2 linked regions of the Drosophila melanogaster genome follow. The protein of the gene in region 2 purifies or fractionates together with the protein of the main gene of each other region. This does not show direct contact. Each region holds a gene or a part of one and is shown on either strand. Other genes may lie near its edges.

The links. The genes of interacting proteins can lie anywhere in the genome.
Region 1: the proteins of Idgf4 (region 2) and Obp44a purify together in Drosophila melanogaster (affinity purification with mass spectrometry, with the first as the bait; one large-scale study listed by BioGRID). This does not show direct contact.

What each region holds. Positions count from the first base shown.
Region 1 is NT_033778.4:8,133,607-8,137,362, forward strand, and holds Obp44a (Odorant-binding protein 44a), read right to left. Parts: upstream 1,710-3,756; 5' UTR 1,406-1,709; coding exon 1,361-1,405; intron 1,291-1,360; coding exon 904-1,290; 3' UTR 564-903; downstream 1-563.
Region 2 is NC_004354.4:9,928,765-9,932,520, forward strand, and holds the start of Idgf4 (imaginal disc growth factor 4), read right to left. Parts: upstream 2,185-3,756; 5' UTR 2,144-2,184; exon of another isoform or gene 2,117-2,143; intron 1,711-2,116; 5' UTR 1,709-1,710; coding exon 1,591-1,708; intron 969-1,590; coding exon 408-968; intron 294-407; coding exon 1-293. UniProt on the Drosophila melanogaster protein: Cooperates with insulin-like peptides to stimulate the proliferation, polarization and motility of imaginal disk cells.

The DNA of each region.
Region 1 (3,756 bases), on a different chromosome or scaffold from region 2:
GATTTCAGATTTTTTTACAATATAATTTCAAAAAACATTATTTTATTGCCAAACTTCTTTGCTAAATAAAAAAGAGAAAACAATCGCAACAGAAAACGCCAGAAAAAATATCGTTTCAATAAAAAATGCATCAGCAGCAAGAAAACAGGCGAAAAGAAGAGACCTCGAAAATAATAAAAAATCAACAAGGAAAACGAATATCTTGACTTGGCTATAATGTTTTTTGAAGCACCCAACACCAAACACCCCCTTTTCACACATTTTAATTTTCAATAAAACATCAAAAAAAAAAAAAAGATTATGAAAAACAAGAAGTTGATTTAAAAAACAAAAAAGTATATACAACAATAAGTATATATAAAAGAAGCGCAAAAGAAACCACAAACCCCAAATAAAAGAAGTTAAAAGATGGCAAAAGCAAATAAAGAAGGAAGAAAATATAAAAAAAAAATCAAAAGAACACAAGACTCTTGGGAAAGAAGTAAATCAACAAAATATATAAAAAGTGCGTGTGTAATTTATATATTTAAAAAAAAAATATATAGAGTAAAGAGAAGATAAGAAAAGAAGTTGAATTTACTAAAGCGAAAAAGATGAAGACAAATATAATCGAATTAAATAAGCTATCAATGCCTTTCCTTTGGGCGGGACAAGGTTTTTTGGGATTGAGGATGCGAGTAACAGCTTGATTCCTGCCACCACCAGCAGCCCTACCTCTCTTCCAGCCCTCAGAAATATTGTGAATAATAAAAAGAACATTCTTCATTCAAAAGCACTATTATATGGTTTTATTTCAATCGTAGGATTGCAGAGCCTGAGCGGATTTCAACTCGAAAATGCCGCGTTGCTTGCGTGTTGATTGATCTTTCGCTTCTAGAATTGATGTGGAACTGCGCTGAACTCCTAGTTCTTCTGGACGGCGGCCTGCACGAGGGGCAGGTTCTTGCCAAGGAAACACTTGAAGCCACGGAAGGCCCATTCGTTGGCGGGCGACTTCTGCTCGTTCTTGTCGGCGCACTTCTCGATGTCGGCCTTCAGCGCGGCCTTGTCCTCCTTGCCCTGGCCCAGTTGCGCCACCAGGTTCTCCACCTTGAAGCCCTTGGCCTCATCGAACAGGTCGAATTTGACGAAGATGCACTGGATGTAGTTGCGGGTGATGTCATCGTCGGGATAGTCGAAGGTCTTGTACTTGGCGATCAGGGCCTCGGTCACCTTGCTGCTGGCGGCACACTCCTTGCGCGCGCTCTGCAGATCCTCGGCGGTGCGCAGCTTGTAGTCGGAGGCAGAGGCCTGTCGAGGAGCAAACGGATGAATTTAGATTACTGGCTGCCATCGGCTTCTGTCTCCTTGCAACACTTACCAGACCCAGCAGGGCGCACAGCAGAATAGCAACAGCGTTCTTCATGGTGAATCTTATTTTTTTTGGCTTCTGTGATAGATTGTGTGAGGACTGAATGCTCGCTCGGAGGAAACTGTTGACTGTGGTCTGGGCTGCTCCAGCTTTTATACCTTCGAGCCCCGCTCAATGTGGGTATGTCGCACTCAACTGTGGGGCGATTTTGAGTGTCGCTCAATTGAGTTGCACTCGCCGGCGTAATTTAAATCTCATTATGGAATTTTTTGATAATGTCGAGGTTGTTGAGGAGACGAGAAATTAAGGATTACCTGATATATGAAAATGATATCTAGGATTGAAGAGTTTGCAGGGATACTGGCAATAGAGAAGAGCGGCTATGCCGCTCGGCTTGGTCTTAATGTTAGAATGCAGTATTTGGTTTTTACTACTGTTCAGCAGTAGTAATTTTCTCGATATAATTTTTCTTAGTTTTGTATATACCATTATCATGAAGCAAAAAAATTTTTATTTAAATGGCATTTACTTCTGGTTAAAGAGGATAACAATTATATTGTTTCTTTTTATATGATGAGCTAATTTGATTTTTCTATCCATTACATTAGCATTCCAAGAGAACGCATTACCAAATTTAAATAGAGAACAGGAAGGAAAGATATATATCATTGCACAATTTATATATCAAAACTAAGATTTTATTCCGCATAAAGATCATAGTGAATCAAAATGAACTGTGATTTAATTTCTGCCATTTTCAATTACTTTTCCGACTGTTCGGAATATATATTCGTCGGATTTTTACCAAATTAAAACCAAAATTATATATTGTTTAAAAAATTCCGAAAACCGAACTAAAATACTTTTTGACCAACATTTTTTTCGAATATTCCTAGTGATGCAATGGCCCAAGTCCAATCCGGCCCGTTCCTACTTATATACTACCTGACAAGTATTAGAGAACAAACTTTAATGGTAGTTTCATTTAGATATCTGTAGAACTGAGTTTGCGTAGTAGAACTGGTGGGCATAGCGAAATCCACCTGGCTGCTGATACTGATCATGAATATACGTATATTCTTTATATGCTCGCAAATGTTTCGTCTTTCCGGCCAAAGTCAATATACCTTCTTTTTTTTCTTATTAATAAATATAATTTATACAACAAAGTTTCAAATGGAAATATTATCAGCTGATTCTGATATAAGTTGTGGCATTAGCATAAGCAGAAAAATCGGTTCAGATTCCCATTGCTTGTTAGTATAAAATCCAAAATCAAATCACATAGGTGTGGTCCACGGGATAGAACTATCTTATGCTATATTCGTGATTTTAGGAAATGACATCGATGTAATATAACTTCATTTGGAATTCCTTTGAGTTATCATACTTGCTCGTTCGATTGTTTAAGAATATATAAAACAATTTTATACCAAAACCAAAATCATTATTCATGTCATTAGTTGATGTCTTTATTATTGATTGTATAAATCAGATTTTGGTTTTTTTTTTAGCGACTGGCTTAAATGGAAAATAAAATTCATAGAACTTTGGAACCAAAAGGCATGTTCACATACGCAAAACTGTGCTTTTCGTAATTCCCCCATATGTACATACTAGGAGAGTTGTGCCCCCTAGGAAAAGTAATTGTGGATCTGCCACTGAGTTTGCATGACCGACCGTTTGTGGCCACTTAACTGCCCACTTCGTTGTCCGTGGGCCATTGTACACCAATGTGTATGCTGTAGGCTGGCCGGTCGGCCTGCTCTGCATTAAATGAGCATTAATTGAATTGGCAAAATTACGTTGACAAATGAAATGCCCCCCGCTGCCAACGCACCCGCGGCTCTCGGCTCGGATCATGGAGGTGCCCCAGCCAGATGCGAGAACTTTCCACTGCAACATGAGAAGCCGCCTGGGAATCGAGTGTCGTCCCCAGTCAACTCATAATTCGTATGCCAGACGCCAGGCAGGTGCAGGTGGTTTCCAGACACAAACAGAGAATTGTATATAGACTTGACTTGTTTTGTTTGAATTTGAAGCATTTATTGGTATTGAAACACTATCAGTTAAGTATACATAGGTTTAGAGCACAGTTTTCATAAAAACTTCAAATAAAAACCTCATCACAATTAACTTAATTTAAATGATCACATACGAAAAATAATGAAATCAAAATCACAACTCCTATGCGCCGTCTGGAATATGCATCATCTACGAACCTGCGGGGAGTCTCAAAGGAACATACTTATAGTAGTCACTATTAATAACTGAATTTTGATTACAACTTAAACCACCCATTTAACTAGAAACGATCGAAAGGAAATGATAATGGAACCAAGGCAATCGCGAATCCTGGCTAAGCTTATGCATAATATAGATATTTCATTTTTGGTAAGCACATC
Region 2 (3,756 bases):
CACACCATCAGCCTCGGCAACCGGTGGAAGTCCAGTCAGTCCCGAATCCTTGGTCAATTTCCAGGCACGTCCATAGGTGGCAATGCCCACGTTAATCTTAGCGGCCGGAGCACGGTTTCCGGTCCAGTATTTCACCTGGTAGTTGACATTGAACTCCGGATTGCGCTCGTTCAGCTCGTAGATCGGTGCCGGGAAGTCGGCCACCTCGTTGTTGCGCTCGGGGGTCTGGAAGTCGTAGGTGTGCAGGTTCACGTAGTCCAAGTTATTGATAATAGCGGGCACATCGAAGAACACTAAACCAGATAAACAAAAACATATTGAATATATAATAAATATGCTGGGCAATCTTTCGAACAAAACATACTAAATGAAATCTAATACAATCGAAATTATTTATGTTAACTCACGCGAAGAGTTCACATTGGGCAGGACACTGAGACCCAGGATGTAGCCATCGGGACGGAAGGCGTTCTTCAGTTCGCGAACCAGGGCGGTGAAGGCCTCCTTGTGCTCCTCGGCCTTCTCGTCGACGACATGATCACCGCTGAAGATCTTCTTGAATCCCTTCCAGAACTTGCCAATGCTGCCGTGCACCTTCTTTGGCTTATTCTTGGGGAACTGCCAGCCGAGATCGAGGCCATCGAAACCGTAGGTCTTCACCAGCGAGTGAGCACTGTTGATGAACGGAATCCTGGCATTGCTGCTCTCCAGCAGGGTCAGATACTTGTTGTTCTCTGGATCCACGGTGTCCTTGTCGCCACCCACGCTAAGCAGGACCTTGAGGGCTGGGTACTTGCGCTTCAATCCGGTCACCTGGCGGAACAGGCTGCTGCCCAGATCCAGGTCCAATTTCTCATTGTTGCTGACCAGCTTGTTGCTCGAGGGATTAATGCCGGCATATCCGTAGACCAGATGGGTGCAGTACTGCAGGGCGGGCTCCAGATCGGTTAGGATCAGCTTGGAGAGGCCTGTTGATGTTCATTTTAGAATAAGGAAATTGTGAAATATATTCATGAATGTAAAAGCTTATTATACTAATGCTTTGTTAACAGGAAGCGTTGAGTTAATCAATAAATTTGATTGTTGTCCCCGAAAAAGCATGTGTTTAATATTGCCAACACTTTATATTCAGTGAATCTTCCACTGGCAGCTGAAAATTCGAGTGTACTAAAATAAGCTCGGTTTGCATCATCAATTAGCGCCTTGGAGGTGGCACCTCTGGTCATGAATCATCATCGTCGAACACCCGATGCCAATTTCAATTAGTTCAAGTCTGGCGTTTTGTGTGGGCTTTCCTCTCTATATGCAATTTACTCAAATTGGTTGCAAAACATTCCCCTCTGATCTTGTGACCCGTTGCCAATTATCAGAATCGCAAAAAAGTACACCGCTTTATGCTTTTAGCATGTGTCTATGAAAAGTGAAAATCATCTAATTGAATTGAGTCCGCGCAGCTCTCTATCTCTTGGTTTCAAAATACACATATGTATATGTACATACGTACGGGTAATATATGTACATTTTCCTTCCACCGATAACCCCGATTCTTATCAACTATATAGCCAAGAACGAACTAGAAGTGGGACTTACCCTCGCGGACAAAACTGTTGCCGTCATAGTAACAAAGTAGATGATGAGATCCGGCGGCGGAAATCTGACCAATGGCCAAAGATCCCACCAGAAGGGAGAACAGGGCGTAGAGCTTCATAGCTGTGAATAGGAAAATATATGTATTTATATTGAAACTGTTAACTGTTGGAAAGTTCCAGAGTAAACCCACATTATGTGTGAGATTTTAAGATTTTAGGTTATTTTGTATGCCTGATTATTATGGAAAAATGACTTATTTTAACATTCTGTGATTCTGAATTCAAAAAACTAGGCACGTTATATTCTTAGAAGACTATTAATAGATAAGAATTATGAAGAAGAAGCTGAACCATATAAAATAAATACATCATTAGAGAATCAAACAAAATGGAATTCTAAGAAGCCCAAATCTCGGATTATTATACGTGTATATCAAAGAAGTTATAGTTCCAGTTCCTGGCCATAAAAACTATATAAATTATCACACGGCGCAAAGAACTCAGATCACAGAAAAAAAAAAACCAACGGAATATTAGAATGACTCTCCACTGACTTGTTGTGCTCGCATTAAAGGTAAAACTGAAACTGTTCGCCGGCGGAGGTGATCCAAACTTTAAGTGAACTCGTTGAGAATACGAAACCGGGCAAGACGAAGAGGGAAGAGCGAGAGACCGCTGAAGCTGCGGCGGCGGGAGCGAAGAAGAGCGAGGGCAAAGCGAACGCAGCGAGAATAAAACTCGGCTTGGAAATACATAAGATCGGAGCAAACAGAACAGAGGGGTATAGAGATGGAGATAGAGAACTTTGGCAAACAAAAACAAAAAAATTAGAAATGTGTGTGGAAAAACAAAAACAAGCGAAGCCAAGCTGCGAAACGAGGGGCGACTCATAAGTACGCATATTGATAAACGATAATGATCTGGATGATGGAAGAATATCAATTGATTTCGAGAGCTTTGAAAACTTTAATCATCGCAGAGCAAATAACCTTCACCAATTTGGGTTGAAATATTGTGTTCTTAGCTCTCCAGTTAATCACTTTTTACAGATTTGTCATTAATTGCATTTAAAGTGGTTGAGATTTTTTAGTGTGAGTAAAAAAAAAACGTAATAAGAAAAAACTTAAAATACAGTTTTAATGAAGTGATTAATATTCGAAGCTTACTCTAATGGATATAGCTATTAACTTCTTTATATATTTATCTATAAAGCCTAATCAGTCTCAATAAATTGTAAATATCTGCTAGGGATCAATGCCAAAGTGTAGATAGACTAATTAAATTAGTTGTAATACATTTGATTAGCCTTAAACTATACTTTATAGGCCGTTCGTTTGAATAGCTCGTTATCTCCGTTTGAAATCCGTAATTAAATCTAGCTTAGCCGCAAAAATTTCACCAGCGCCACAAAGCCTGGTTGATCTGCTCTCGTTTTTGATTTTCTCTATTAAGTGATTAAGTGTCTGTCATTGTTGTAATGAATTTTTGCTATCAGCTTTTTTTGTAATTCGGTTTTTTCTCTGCCAGAGCCTGTTTTAAGCGCCGCCCTCCCCCCTCCCCCCTACCACACCAACGTCGTGATGTCATCGTTACCGGGAATCGCTCGAGCAATTATACAATCAGGCCAACGCGTCGGGCATTATTAAGCTATATTCACTGTATGTGTGTGTGTGTGTGTGTGTAGGTAGATATATCCCCATTAAAGCGACAGCTGCTTTATTTGTTTATTTTTGAATTTTCGATGGAGGATAAGTTGCCGAAAAGCGAAATAAAATATCGTACAGCGCATATAAATCGCAAATTGACAAAGTAAACTCAACTTCCACGACTTCGCCGCCTGCTCTATTAATTTGTGTAAAAATTGATTTTAATAAATAAACACTGGCTGCATTGTCGCCTCCGTTTTCGTTTTCGTTTTCGTTTTCATTTTCGATTTTGATTTTGATTTCGATTTGAATGTTTTAGTTCGGCTCGGTTCTCAAATGTTTACTCATGGCATCGCCTCGCCAATCGGCCGACTTTATCAATTTATGTCAGCGGCCAGAGAGGTCAAACACACACAGATACAGATACAAGCACAGATACAGATACGTATACATTAGATGATGGACGGGCCCGATTTGGGTCCGTCTCTAGTCTCATATTTAGTTTTAATTTGCTACCCCAT